Linked DNA regions of Zea mays. The protein of the gene in region 1 binds, or shares a complex with, the protein of each later gene. Links are inferred from orthologs where the notes say so. Each region holds a gene or a part of one and is shown in the gene's direction. Other genes may lie near its edges.

Region 1 (3,390 bases):
CACAAAAATAACTCCATCGGGTCACCCATATACACTGGCGGGTATGGATTTACCCTCATACCCTTACTCATGTGGGTATGGGTCACCCATCGGGTCACCCGTACCCACAAAAGCTAAACATCTATCAAAATATTATATGATAAAAATGTCAAGTATATCCATCTAAATACCATTACAAAATTTCTAGTATCATTTAACCATCCATTCAACACACCAAAGATAATTGGATAAAGTAGTAACACTAGGATAATACTACATAGCACATTACATGGTCATTAAATTGTCGTTAAGCCTTCTATGACATTATGGCCTAAAAGGTTGTTAAATAGTAAAAAAGATGGATGACTAAAGTCAAAGTTCATACTTGGGCTAAGTTTATATTGGGTATTTTATACCCACGGGTTAACGGGTATGGGTGAAGGCGGAACGTTCTAATACCCGTTTACCCATTGGGTGAAGATTTTTGCCCAATAACAGACCCACGGGTAGAATATTTAGCCACATACATACCCTAATGGAGTAAATACCCATCGGGTATCGGGTCGCGGGTACCCATTGCCATCTCTAAGGGAGAGAGAGTTATCCAGCAATATGAACTATGGATTTTGATGGTGTGTTAAGTCTAGATATAATTTGTTTGGAATATTTAGGGCTAGTTTGGAAACTTAAATCACCTCTGAGGTTCTTAGGGATTGAGGGGAATCCTCGGGAATCAAGGAGAAGATTTAAGTTTCTAAACTAGCCCTTAGGGCTAGTCAATAGAGGTTATGTACTTATGTGTGTATATGATTTGCCTGGTGGGTTTTGTAAATTTTAAACTGATGCATTATATATATACTCATCTTAAATAATATTCCCTCTGTACCAAAATAAAATTCGTTGTAGACTAATGCTGGATTCATCAAAGATCTGAAGGGTTTACTTTATATATGTGTTGTTTTAGTTCTCAGTGTTTATGTCTATATTTAAATGAATAAAGATAAATCTAGACACTTTTAAAATACATACATTAAATATTGTATGAATATAAGATAAATTTTAATTTAGAAGAGAGGAAATACTATTTTAGAACGAACGAGTAGAAAAAAGTTATATTTTCTATTGGGCCAACGAGTCCAAAACACACATAGGGAAAGGCCACTAGGTCATCGAAGGTTGCCTACGCATACGCAACCTTATCATCATCCGCCCTTGGGTTTTCTATCCGATAGACCGGGGACGCACAGGCCTCTCGCCCTCCGCGCGGCTCCACAGGAGAGCAAAAATGGCGACCCTCTCCATGGTCTCCGTCCCCATCGCACCCTCCTCCTTGTCCCTTTCCACCCGGGGCCGCAGCTCCTCCGCATCCTTCCCCGCTAAGGTTAGTGCCGCCTTCTGCTATACCCCTATACCCCCCTGCGTCCAGGGAGCTTGTCTGATTGGGGTGTCTTGTTTTTCTAACCCTGTACGGCCTTGTTGGAATGGGGTGTAAATTAGTTTTTTAGTTTCACTCTAATCTATATCAATACATATTGATTGTGCTGAATACGAGAGTATCCAAAAACAAGGCCTACTTGGGATGGTCGTGTCAGGAGCGTTGGAAGGATGGTCTTCTGTGAACTGCTAATTTTCAATACATTGGTAGGAAATGGCGCGTGTTGGTTCATGCATATGAATTTTCTAGCGCATTGTCAGTAATGCTAGTGTTTCATGGTACAGCAGTATGACTGATTCTAGTAGCAAAGAAAAGGATGTTTCTTTAGACTTTTGATGTGGATCTGAAATTCTGAACCTGATTATAGGAGCTGTTGTTTATTATCGCTGTTGCATTGTGCGCACAGCCTGAATACGACACAAACATGAACTTCGATACATCATTAATTTATCCCCATCTGAATGACCCTTCATACCCAGGCTCATGTTGGTGGTTTATTTTGCGGTTTTTGATTGTGCTGTATGTTGGGTGGCCTGACAGAAGGGAGGAATCGGTCACGGTGGCTTGCGGATCGAGTGCATCCGTATTGGTGGTGTTGAGATTCCAAACCACAAGAGGGTGGAGTACTCGCTGCAGTACATACATGGCATTGGACGCTCACGCTCACGCCAGATCCTCCTGGACCTCAATTTCGATAACAAGATCACCAAGGACCTCTCCGAGGAGGAGGTCATCACCCTCCGTAAGGAGGTTGGCAAGTACATGATTGAGGGAGACCTTGTAACGTCCCTGATCCCTTTGTCGATTATTCGCTGCAGTTATTTGATTCAGTAGTTCATGATGATTAACGACTTGTATGGTTACCATAGTTACTTAGTTAACATATCAATGATTCCTTGAAAGCTTTGAAGTTCATTCTGCAGGTCTGCGTATTTAATTTCACTTCCTTAGTCATAGATGATTCCTGACTGTCCTAACTGTTTAGTTTTATATCGATGTTGGACTCCAAGGGAGTGAAAACGCTGAGAGCTGGCACACTGCTGTTTGGTATGCTTTACAGAAACGTTTCAACCGTGTGGCGATTGAGAGGCTGAAGGAGATTAGGTGCTACAAGGGCATCCGGCACAAGCTTGGACTCCCAGTTCGTGGCCAGAGGACAAAGAACAACTGCCGGACACTTAAGGGAAAGAGGGCTTCAGTTGCCAAGAAGAAGTCACCCGCCTCCCAGGATGAATAAATCGTATTGCCATGTATTGAAGTTCTCTCTCTCTCTCTCTCTCTCTCTCTCTCTCTCTCTCTGTGTGTGTGTGTGTGTGTGTGTGTGTGTGTAGCGCTACTACTGCTGGGTGTTTTGTTTCGAGCTTTTATGCTGCCATTGACAAATCATGGGGTAGCCATCAGCTGCTGCAGATTTTGTAGCAATGACATACTAGCTCATATGGGTCGGTTCTATAAATGAAGATCAAATTCTTGTTTACATCCATTTGTATTCCTCTGTCCCAACCTATGCTCGATGCAAGGAGTCCAGACTGCTCCTGACGAATTACTATTTACCAGATCCAGTGTTCTGGGGATTATTCACCTGCCACTGGTATACCTGTTTTCATCCCTGCACGAGATGATCATGTGGCGAAGAGTTATGATTCGAGATCTCTCCCCTTAACAAATGTAGTTGAAAAAACAAGTTTTGGCTACCCGTCGATGGTTATGTTTTTTTTCTTGATAAGGACGATGGTTAAATTGTGTTTGGTTTCAAATAAAGATGATTTGAATCACTTGATTGAAGCCATTAAGGTTTCCTGGCATTCATCAGCCCCCAACTTGCAGAGCACGGATGACGGATGACTGTGAATTTGTGATCCCGTGGTGTGCTATTTGCCGAAGCTTGCACCGGTGCACGGACACCACCACCTGCTCCCCCATCCGGCGGCACCCGGGCCGCCGCGCCCGCGCGCTCTATCCACCACTCAAATAAA
Region 2 (3,999 bases), about 250 Mb from region 1:
TTAAAAGTACCTGGCAAATATCTGAAACTTGGTATACTATTCATGTCACACTAATTTTATCAATCACAACCAATTCACCTTCTGTCTTCTATGTGAACAGGAAATCTCTACACCTAGCAATCTTCCTCAAAAGAGATAGGAAAATGCATCAAAATGCTTGGCGAATCTCTGAAACTGAGTCAACCACTTAACAGCAACTCAATAGCTATTCATATGCCCCGATTTTTGCAGCTTGCTCTAGGTGAATAAATTTGCTCAGGTGTCAGATGATCTGAACTTACTGTAGCATTATGCAGAAAACCAATCTCCGTTTTTGAAATATTGTATGTCGACTCTTAAGGAACTTGCAGCTCATATTGGTGAGGTGGTTGTTAATAAGTGCTTATCTGCTGCTGCTAAATCTGGCATGTTTGTCAGCTTGAGGACAAGCGCAAAACTCTGGCAGAGATCTGTAAGGTTACTGCTCTCACAGAAGTCACCAAATTCCCCTTTCTCAACCTCTCCTAAATCTGATCGGGACAAGACGAACGTTCATGGATTCAACCTTAATGAGGCATCACGTGCTATGAATTCTGATAGAACAGTCATCACAGCGAAACCAACTTTTGGTGATCGATTGTCGAACAAATCAAATACAGTTCCATCTCCCAGCACCAGCAGGCAGCTTAACCAGGGGGGGGGGGGGGGGGGGGGGGGGGGGGGGGGGGGGGGGCTGCTACTGCAACCGTTCCATCATATTCAAGGCTTCGTGGGCAGCAGTCGGGCTTAGATCTTGTAGCTGCTCTCAAGGGGATTGGGAAAAAGGAGTGCTGGGGATTGTGGTGATGGCCGGGATAAAGAAGGGAAGTGAATAGCTGGTGCTCTGTAGATGTATGTCTGTAGTAGAGTTAGTTTGGCCACCTCTATGGCTCATCATTCTGTATTTCTTTTGCCTCGTGCCAGGAGCTGTGAATGTAGCTTCTCCTATTTGAGCGCTGGTATGGACAGTCTATCCAGGCAAGAAGAAGGTAACTGATTGTTCCTTGAAACGATCAAGTTTATGCCAGCCAGATCGACACTTTTAGCTGAGGTCACAGTAATATCCAATTCCACGATCTTCCTTTCCGAACAAATCATTCATGATCTTCTTCGAAAGTAATGCTAGAGGAGACAGAACTCGCCCATGTTTGCCACCAGACACCTCGCTTTGAAAGTAACAAAGCTGGAGGGGCTCGAGCGCAAATGCCCCTGGAACCGGATAACACACCGCGATAGCGAAGCAGAGGTCTTCCAAAACCCAACGCGGCAAACGGCTTCCTCACCCCCCCTCCCCTCGCCATGGCCGTCCCCACCTCCACCTCCTCCCCGCTCCCCCTCCTCTTCCTCCATCGCTGCACCGCAAACTCTAGCCCCTCGGTTCTCTCCTTCCCGTCCTCCCTCCGCGGCGCGTCCCTCCGCTCCCGGGCCGCGGCCGCACCGCCCGCAGAGACCCTCTCTGACGACGGCATCCCCGACGCGCCACCGGTACGTGACTGAACTGATATTGCCGTGTCTTTTCGCACACGCAGAGTCCAAAACCTGCGAATTTCATGATGGCGTGTACCGCTTGGTTATGGGGGTTACAATTACATGGCGACATTGGTTCAGTTGGCACACTCGTTAGACCTTGTTCATTCGGTGACTAAAATTGTTAACCTCGCGCTTTCAGGAAGGGGCAGGAACGGGAATTCCGTTGCCATCGTCGATTGGGGATGATGGGGAGCAGGTACCTTCCATAGCAGTTAAAAATTTCCCAGATTATTATGTTACCGAATCTTTTGTTCTGATATTGTTGCTTCCTTGATCGAATGAACTGTGAAAAGTTATAACCATAAACCATACAACATGTTTCTCTTTTATTGCTGCATAGCAGTGCACATTTTACTTGTGATTGTTTAATCACAATAAATGGAGAGCACGATGTGCTCTGGGTATTTGTGTAAATGGCATTTAGAAATCGTTCAGGACGCAATGCAATGATGCTAGACAATATCAGTCAGCACATTCGTTTAAGCCGTTAATCTTAGTGTAAACTGTTCTTAACGTGAGTGTGACTTGGACTTCAAAAATGTATGTTTTTGTAGAAGTCCATATCACGTTAGACAGTTTAGCATCCTTAATGCTTAAGCCATGCATAGTTACCAGCACATGATTGAAGAGACTATGTGGGAAATTCATTTCGTTTGTCCTTTAAATCATTCCTATCAGACTAGAATGAGGATATCTGAGGGTCTATGGTGGTTTAGCTTTCCAGATTCTACTTAGCAGTTGAAAGCTTGCTGGATCAAACTTTCAAAGTTTTCTGCCTATTAATGCTCTGTTCCTCCTTGGAATTATTTGACGTACTTGAAAAATGGTGGACGGCGTGGGAGAGGGGGAGGGGCAGCATAGGGAGAGGGAGGGAGGGAGCAATAACTCTATTCTTGCTTAGACTGAAATAGTTATTTGCCCCTATATTTAATTATTTATAGTTCCTATAGGACTTGTATCCCAAGCATCATTCTTATAGATTTGTAATCTTGTTTCCTAACAAACCAATCTTCTTTCTTAAACAAACTCTATCATTATTTTCTAAACAAGCTATATTTTATTTATTCCAAGCTTATTGAAGATTACCTTTGAGTTTCCATCTATTCCGGATTCTCCAGTGCGGGAGGGATTCTAGGGGCAGTAGAGGCCGCGGCTCATCAGGGCCTGGTGTTGGGCCTCAGTTGGGCCACTAGGCCCGACATGGTGGCCCATATTTAGGCCTGTGAGGCTGTGACATACTGACTCATGACTGAAGCCTAGTATCATTTGGCCATCGAAAGAAAGCAAAAAAAAAAAAGACAGCAGTTGTCTCAAGCGCTCAGCAACCATGGACCATGAATTCCTTATTGTCTTTACCTCGCTGTAATTGCGCCCACTGTGGTAGTCAGTGTGTTCCCCTGAACAGTTAGCAATATCTAACTGTGTTGTTGTGTTTACAATTTGACAAGTTATGCAATTCCTCTTGCTTGTCTCCCTAGGAACCTCCATGGTACTGTCATTGAACTGTTGGAGTCGAGTTGAGATGCTTCCTTCATTCTAAAATATATAATGTCAATGTGTGTGCTCAGCCTTTTAAACTTGTATAAACTTATTTACTTTTCTCACATGGAAATGGTCAAATTGTAAACAGGACAAAGGTGTGTTTTGAAGATCCATGTCCAAAATGGCTATTAAGTAGTAAAATTAAATAGAGCTAACACTGTATAATCTGTCATTGAGGCTACTCCTTGTAGTTTTATGTTTACTTTGCTTCATGCTTCTGCAGTTCTGCTTGTTAAGCATGTCCATCGTAAATATTTGTCTGCAGTTGTTGTATGGAAGTGCTGAAAACGAAATTTTTACAAGGCCTTGTGCACAGTTGGGATCCTCCCATAGTGATTCTTATTTTCTTTAGATGTATCACAAGAGGAAATGGTGATAATAAACAGATACGGAGAGATACTTGTTGGTGTTTTGCATGAAGCTGGATCTAAGGGCCTTGTAGTGTTGTGTCACAGATTTAGATCATCAAAGGAAGGTAGAATTATGTTAAGTCTCGCTGATGCATTAACATCAGAAAATGTCAGCATATGTGTTTTGATTATTCTGGTAATGGAGAAAGCGAAGGTACTTTTGGATAAGGTTACTATAACGAAGTGGACGTTTTATGTGATGCGATCCTGCATTTCAAAAACACAAACGTGACACCCATGCTATTGCTGGCCACAGTAAAGGAGAAAATGTGGTTATCCTCTATACATCCATGTATCACGAATTCACGGTATATCTAAAGCTATTAACCTTTCTGGAAGGTTTAAGCTGGAACGTAGAATTGGAGATCATTCCGTAAATGATTACATGGAAAGGATTAATCAGCATGGTTTCATTGATGTGGAAGACAAAATAGGAGTATCATCTACCGTGTGACCAGACAAAGTCTGATGGATGGTCTTAAGACAGGCACTCTGCAAT
Region 3 (2,129 bases), on another chromosome or scaffold:
AGTCAAAATCAAAAAAACCTAACTTTTTCTATTATATATTGATGTGTATCTATCTATAATATTTTTGAATATTATGGAATTAGAGAAATGACATTCGCACGCTTCTCATTTCATTCGCGAGGAGCTGGATGAGAAGAAACTCTCATGTCCAGTTTTGTAGTAGAGATGGAACTAAGAAGGAACCATCGACTATAACCCCAAAAGAACTAGATTTCGTAAACAACATAGAGGAAGAATGAAGGGAAAATCCTGCCGAGGCAATCATATTTGTTTTGGTAGATATGCTCTTCAAGTACTTGAACCCGCTTGGATCACCGCGAGACAGATAGAAGCAGGACGAAGAGCAATGACACGATATGCACGTCGTGGTGGAAAAATATGGGTGCGTATATTTCCCGACAAACCGGTTACAATAAGACCCACAGAAACACGTATGGGCTCGGGAAAGGGATCCCCCGAATATTGGGTAGCCGTTGTTAAACCAGGTCGAATACTTTATGAAATGAGCGGAGTATCCGAAACTGTAGCTAGAGCAGCTATCTCTATAGCTGCCAGTAAAATGCCCATACGAAGTCAATTTCTTCGATTAGAGATATAGAACCCCAAAAAGGAATATTGAAGATAAAAAACCCCTGGTTTTTCTTTCTGGAAAGACAATATTTCTTTCATCCTTTTGCATTGAAATAACAAATGGAAATCCAAATAATATGATTCAACCTCAGACCCTTTTAAATGTAGCAGATAACAGTGGAGCTCGAAAATTGATGTGTATTCGAGTCATAGGAGCCGCTGGTAATCAGCGATATGCTCGTATTGGTGATGTTATTATTGCTGTAATCAAAGACGCAGTGCCCCAAATGCCTCTAGAAAGATCCGAAGTAATTCGAGCTGTAATTGTACGTACACGTAAAGAATTCAAAGGCGACGACGGTATAATAATACGCTATGATGACAATGCAGCAGTTATCATTGATCAAAAAGGAAATCCAAAAGGAACTCGAGTTTTTGGCGCGGTTGCCGAAGAATTAAGAGAATTGAATTTGACTAAAATAGTTTCATTAGCTCCTGAAGTATTATAAATACTAGTAGACGAGATATAGATCAAAGAAAAAATTAGTAGATTTTGTCTCACGTATATGCTTTAAAATCCTAAATTTAAAGAAAAGGGAAAACATGTTGATTATAGAAAAATTAGGAGGAACCTAGAATTAGAGTCTTATGGGCAAGGACACTATTGCTGATTTACTAACCTCTATAAGAAACGCAGACATGAATAAAAAAGGAACTGTTCGAGTAGTATCCACAAATATTACCGAAAACATTGTTAAAATACTTCTACGAGAGGGTTTTATTGAAAGTGTTCGGAAACATCAGGAAAGTAACAGATATTTCTTGGTTTCAACTTTGCGACATCAAAGGAGAAAGACTAGAAAGGGAATATATAGAACTAGAACCTTTTTAAAGCGTATCAGCCGACCTGGCTTACGAATTTATGCCAACTATCAAGGAATTCCTAAGGTTTTGGGCGGAATGGGAATTGCTATTCTTTCTACTTCTCGAGGTATAATGACAGATCGAGAAGCTCGACTAAACAGAATTGGGGGAGAAGTTTTATGTTATATATGGTAATGGCCCCACCTATAGTACCCAAATTCTATCTCGAACTTCCTATTTTGAAAATAAAAATAGAAAAATAGGAGAAAAATATATGACAGAAAAAAAAAATAGTAGAGAAAAAAAAAACCCGAGAGAAGCAAAAGTCACTTTCGAAGGTTTAGTTACGGAAGCCCTACCCAACGGAATGTTCCGCGTTCGCCTAGAGAATGACACCATCATCCTGGGCTATATTTCAGGAAAGATCCGGTCTAGTTCTATACGAATACTGATGGGGGATAGGGTCAAAATTGAAATAAGTCGTTATGATTCCAGCAAAGGTCGTATAATTTATAGACTTCCCCATAAGGATTCGAAGCGTACCGAAGACTCGAAGGATACTGAAGATTTGAAGGATACCAAAGATTCAAAGGATTAGGTTTTTCTGGGGTAATAACTTCCAAGTTTCAAAATTTAAGTGAAGAGACTTATTTTTTCCAAAAGAATAGATTCATAGTTTAAGAAAGGAATACCCA
Region 4 (3,519 bases), about 32 Mb from region 1:
AGAAGAGAGAAGATGTGTGACGGGAGAAGAAGAGAGGTGGAAAAATTAGAAAGAATTGGACTGTAATCGATGGTAGTGGTCGATAACTTTTCTCAACTCTATCAAACTTATGTTGTTGGAGCTTCCATTGAGAAGCTTCACCAAGAGAGTGGATCTAGCCTTTAGATCCCCCATTTTGGTAAATATAAATTTAGTGGATCTAGATCGTTTGACAAAGTTTTTCAAAAATTTAAATTATTTTTAGTGAATCTCAAATAAACTCATACTGTTGTTTCATTTGATATGGCTCCTTTTAGAAGGGCTCTAGCTCCTTATTTTATTGTCAGTAGAGTACCTTCTATGAAGCTGAAGTTTTTGTAAGTAAAAAAATGGGCTATTTAAATTTGTACCCTTAGTTTTGCTTCATTCCTTATTTTTAACCTTGGTCGTGTTTTTTCTTAGTTTTGCCCTACTACTCTATAACACTAGAAGGACAAAACTAAGTAAAAAAACACGACTAAGGGTAAAAATGAGAACACCAGCAAAACTTGGAGCAAAAGCTTAAAAAATCCAAAAATAAAAGCCATATTTCAGCATCGTGTCTCTTTTATAAAAAATGACTTTGACTTTTTGAGCTCTACAAGGAGTTGTTTTCGGCTATTGGCCCCTTTAAGAAGTCGTGAGAAAGTAGAGTCGAAGTCCTGTCAAATTGACCTACAATAGAATGTCTTCAGACCTTCACACAAAGTTTTTCGGTGTTCAAATTCACTAGATCTTTTATCTTGGTCCTGTTTGTTTCGGATTCTAGCAGCTTCTGGCCACCAAAAGCTGCTGCGGATTGCCAAACGCTCAGCTTTTCAGCCAGCTTCTATAAAATTCGTTGGGACAAAAACCATCCAAAATCAATATAAACACATAATCGGTTAAGTCGTTGTAATAGTATGAATTCATCACTTTCTAGATCCTGAGTCCTATGAACAACTTTATTTTCCTCCACACGTAATCGTAATGATACTCAGATTCTCCCCACAGCCAGATTCTCCTTACAGCCAGATTTTCAGAAAAGCTGGTCAGAAAAAAACTGAACCAAACAGGCCCCTTATATCTCGTATACAGAGAAGATTAGGTCTACTCTATATTTAGTCAATTCAACTGTTCGAGATTTTTTTAAAAAAATATAGGTCCGCTGTTGATATTGTATTTTAGCTGCCTAAATCTTTGGACAGCAAACTTAGATAATCAATTAGTATAATTAAAAGAATAATTTATACTTTTTCTATGGGTAAATAAAGGAAAACATACATGCTGCGTATATGACAACAAAAGAATCATACACATAAAACATAGAAGAAATGCATAACTACATATAGTTGAAATACACACAAAGTTAACGTTGTAAACAATTTTGGTTTAACTGGCAACCCGGCCGTTTTTCCACCAATATGAAAATCCGTGCAAACTCCAAACAGGGCGTGGCGTCCTATCCTTATCTATCGAGTGGACGCGACGCCAACAGCGTCAGCGCCTCCTCCCGCTCTCCGGCTCCTGTCCTGCTCGCGCTCGTCGCCCCCCTGCCGCTCGGCTCCCCTTGGCCCCTCCAATGCCGCCACCCATGGCACTGCTGCCGCTCTCCTCCGCATCCGCGTCCGCCGCGCTGCCGCCCTTCCGCTCCTGCCCGCCCGCTGCGATGCTGCTTCGCCTCCCCTCCCCCGCCCCCTCCCATTTCGCCCGCCCCCGCGCGGTCTCCACTGGGTACGCGGCGTCCTTCTACGGCGGCTCGGCGATGTCCGCGGCCGGCGGCGCGGACGAGGAGGAGGAGGTCGGCTACGAGTCGGGGTTCGGCCCGGGGCTAGGGCTGGGCGGCGGCGGCCTCGGGATGTCGGCCGCGGAAGCCGCGCTGGCGCTGGAGGAGCGCGAGATGCCGCCCTGCCCACCCGGCCTCCGCCAGTACGAGACCATGGTCGTGCTCCGCCCCGACATGTCCGAGGAGGAGCGCCTCGCCTTCATCCAGCGCTACGAGGAGGTAATTTGCGTTTGCCTCCGCTCCGTTTGGCTGCCACTATAGCTAACTGGATGGATGGAGCAGCGTAACACGGGCACGGCTCGATCGGCTCACCTCTGCCTCTTGCATATCTCGCTACCATTTGCTGTTCCGATGGCAGAGAGAGCAGACAGATGATAATTTCTGGACAGGCTGGTATCATACTTGAGCAATGCGAGACGAATGTTAAAAGGGTTCCGAGTGTTTCGAATTTCATCCAATAAATATTAGGATTTCTAAACGTATAAAAGTGGATCCGCCATAGTTAATTGCCATCCTATCCTGAATTCACCATGTATGTTAGGCACTGTTTCTGTTAGAAACTCACTCTAGTCTAGAGCTAATCAGTTTGTTCACATTGAAGTCAGATGCTGCGGCGGTAATATATAGAGACAAGAAACCGTTTCGGATTAAAGACAGGTGAACAGCTTGAATATATAGCAGTAGAGGTTTGAACACCCCCTACCTAATAACTCAGCTAATTTGTGAGTTAACAATCAGTCCATTAGCTGGTTTAACCTAGCTAACAATTTGTTAGTTCCAAACGGGCCCTTAATCGCTGTTATCAGTCACATGCCATCTGCGTACCATTCCAATCCAGCTCAGCTTGGTGTTTTCCTGTGCTGCAGCTGCTCGTCGCCGGCGGCGCCATGTACGTGGAGGTCTTCAACCGCGGTGTCATCCCGCTGGCATACAGCATCAGGAAGAGGAACAGCCGCACCGGGCTGCCGTCCACCTACTACGACGGCATCTACCTCCTCATCACCTACTTCACCAAGCCGGAGTCCATGGACGCCCTGCAGCTTAAGCTCAACGCCGACGACGACGTCATCCGCTCCACCAGCTTCAAGGTCCGCCAGCGGAAGGCCGTCTAGTTAGACGGGTTGCCTCCTCCGCCTTCAGGCCCTGAACACTGTTTTGTTCACATACCATACTACAAGAAATCTGCTGTACAAGAATCCACCTTTGCCATGATTGTTGAGTTTTTTTTTTTTGAATATGTTTCTTGTCTTGTGGTTCTCGAAAATGGACGTCCGGCCATCGTTCGCCAGAGAAACACCGCGCCTCCTAAAACCATCATGTTTCATCAGGTACCAAAAATAAAGGTCCGTAGCTAGGTAGCGTCGAGCCTGAGCGCGCTCCGGGGATGGAGAACAGTCCAAACCCATCGTAAATCTGCAACAGTACAAGCATATACAGTGCAATTTGTGGAAGAGATTCGTACAAGTACAACTTTCATTTGATTTCAGAGGCGTTTAAATACTCCACACTTCATTCCCATTTAGCGTCAAGTGCGTTGGTGTTTCCAAATATTCATTTGATGAAAGAGATGTTCTCGGCATATAACTAAACAGTACGACACTAGGACATGACATGATGCAGAACGCAGATTGGCTTTCGGATTTCTCGAGCAGGAACAGGAAACTTCGGAAGATAAGACACAAAGCACAACACAAACCAGAACAGACGCCAGCAATCCAAAATCTGTCAGCCATGGA

What was found. The genes of interacting proteins can lie anywhere in the genome.
Region 2: 30S ribosomal protein S13, chloroplastic-like (region 1) and 30S ribosomal protein S10, chloroplastic share a complex: the UniProt entries of both Arabidopsis thaliana proteins name them as parts of the 30S ribosomal subunit. The link is inferred for Zea mays from reciprocal best matches to the Arabidopsis thaliana genes EMB3137 and AT3G13120.
Region 3: 30S ribosomal protein S13, chloroplastic-like (region 1) and rps8 share a complex: the UniProt entries of both Arabidopsis thaliana proteins name them as parts of the 30S ribosomal subunit. The link is inferred for Zea mays from reciprocal best matches to the Arabidopsis thaliana genes EMB3137 and rps8.
Region 4: 30S ribosomal protein S13, chloroplastic-like (region 1) and 30S ribosomal protein S6, chloroplastic-like share a complex: the UniProt entries of both Arabidopsis thaliana proteins name them as parts of the 30S ribosomal subunit. The link is inferred for Zea mays from reciprocal best matches to the Arabidopsis thaliana genes EMB3137 and AT1G64510.

The regions. Positions count from the first base shown.
Region 1 is NC_050096.1:271,763,189-271,766,578, forward strand, and holds 30S ribosomal protein S13, chloroplastic-like, read left to right. Parts: upstream 1-1,147; 5' UTR 1,148-1,264; coding exon 1,265-1,360; intron 1,361-1,954; coding exon 1,955-2,194; intron 2,195-2,474; coding exon 2,475-2,651; 3' UTR 2,652-2,890; downstream 2,891-3,390. UniProt on the Arabidopsis thaliana protein: Located at the top of the head of the 30S subunit, it contacts several helices of the 16S rRNA.
Region 2 is NC_050096.1:24,109,414-24,113,412, forward strand, and holds the start of 30S ribosomal protein S10, chloroplastic, read left to right. Parts: upstream 1-1,199; 5' UTR 1,200-1,317; coding exon 1,318-1,503; intron 1,504-1,687; coding exon 1,688-1,744; intron 1,745-1,750; exon of another isoform or gene 1,751-3,999.
Region 3 is NC_001666.2:77,988-80,116, reverse strand, and holds rps8 (ribosomal protein S8), read left to right. Parts: upstream 1-1,218; coding exon 1,219-1,629; downstream 1,630-2,129. Other genes in the region: rpl16 (ribosomal protein L16), read left to right, coding at 197-598; rpl14 (ribosomal protein L14), read left to right, coding at 708-1,079; infA (translation initiation factor 1), read left to right, coding at 1,709-2,032. UniProt on the Arabidopsis thaliana protein: One of the primary rRNA binding proteins, it binds directly to 16S rRNA central domain where it helps coordinate assembly of the platform of the 30S subunit.
Region 4 is NC_050096.1:303,987,573-303,991,091, forward strand, and holds 30S ribosomal protein S6, chloroplastic-like, read left to right. Parts: upstream 1-1,464; 5' UTR 1,465-1,579; coding exon 1,580-2,002; intron 2,003-2,649; coding exon 2,650-2,895; 3' UTR 2,896-3,019; downstream 3,020-3,519. UniProt on the Arabidopsis thaliana protein: Binds together with bS18 to 16S ribosomal RNA.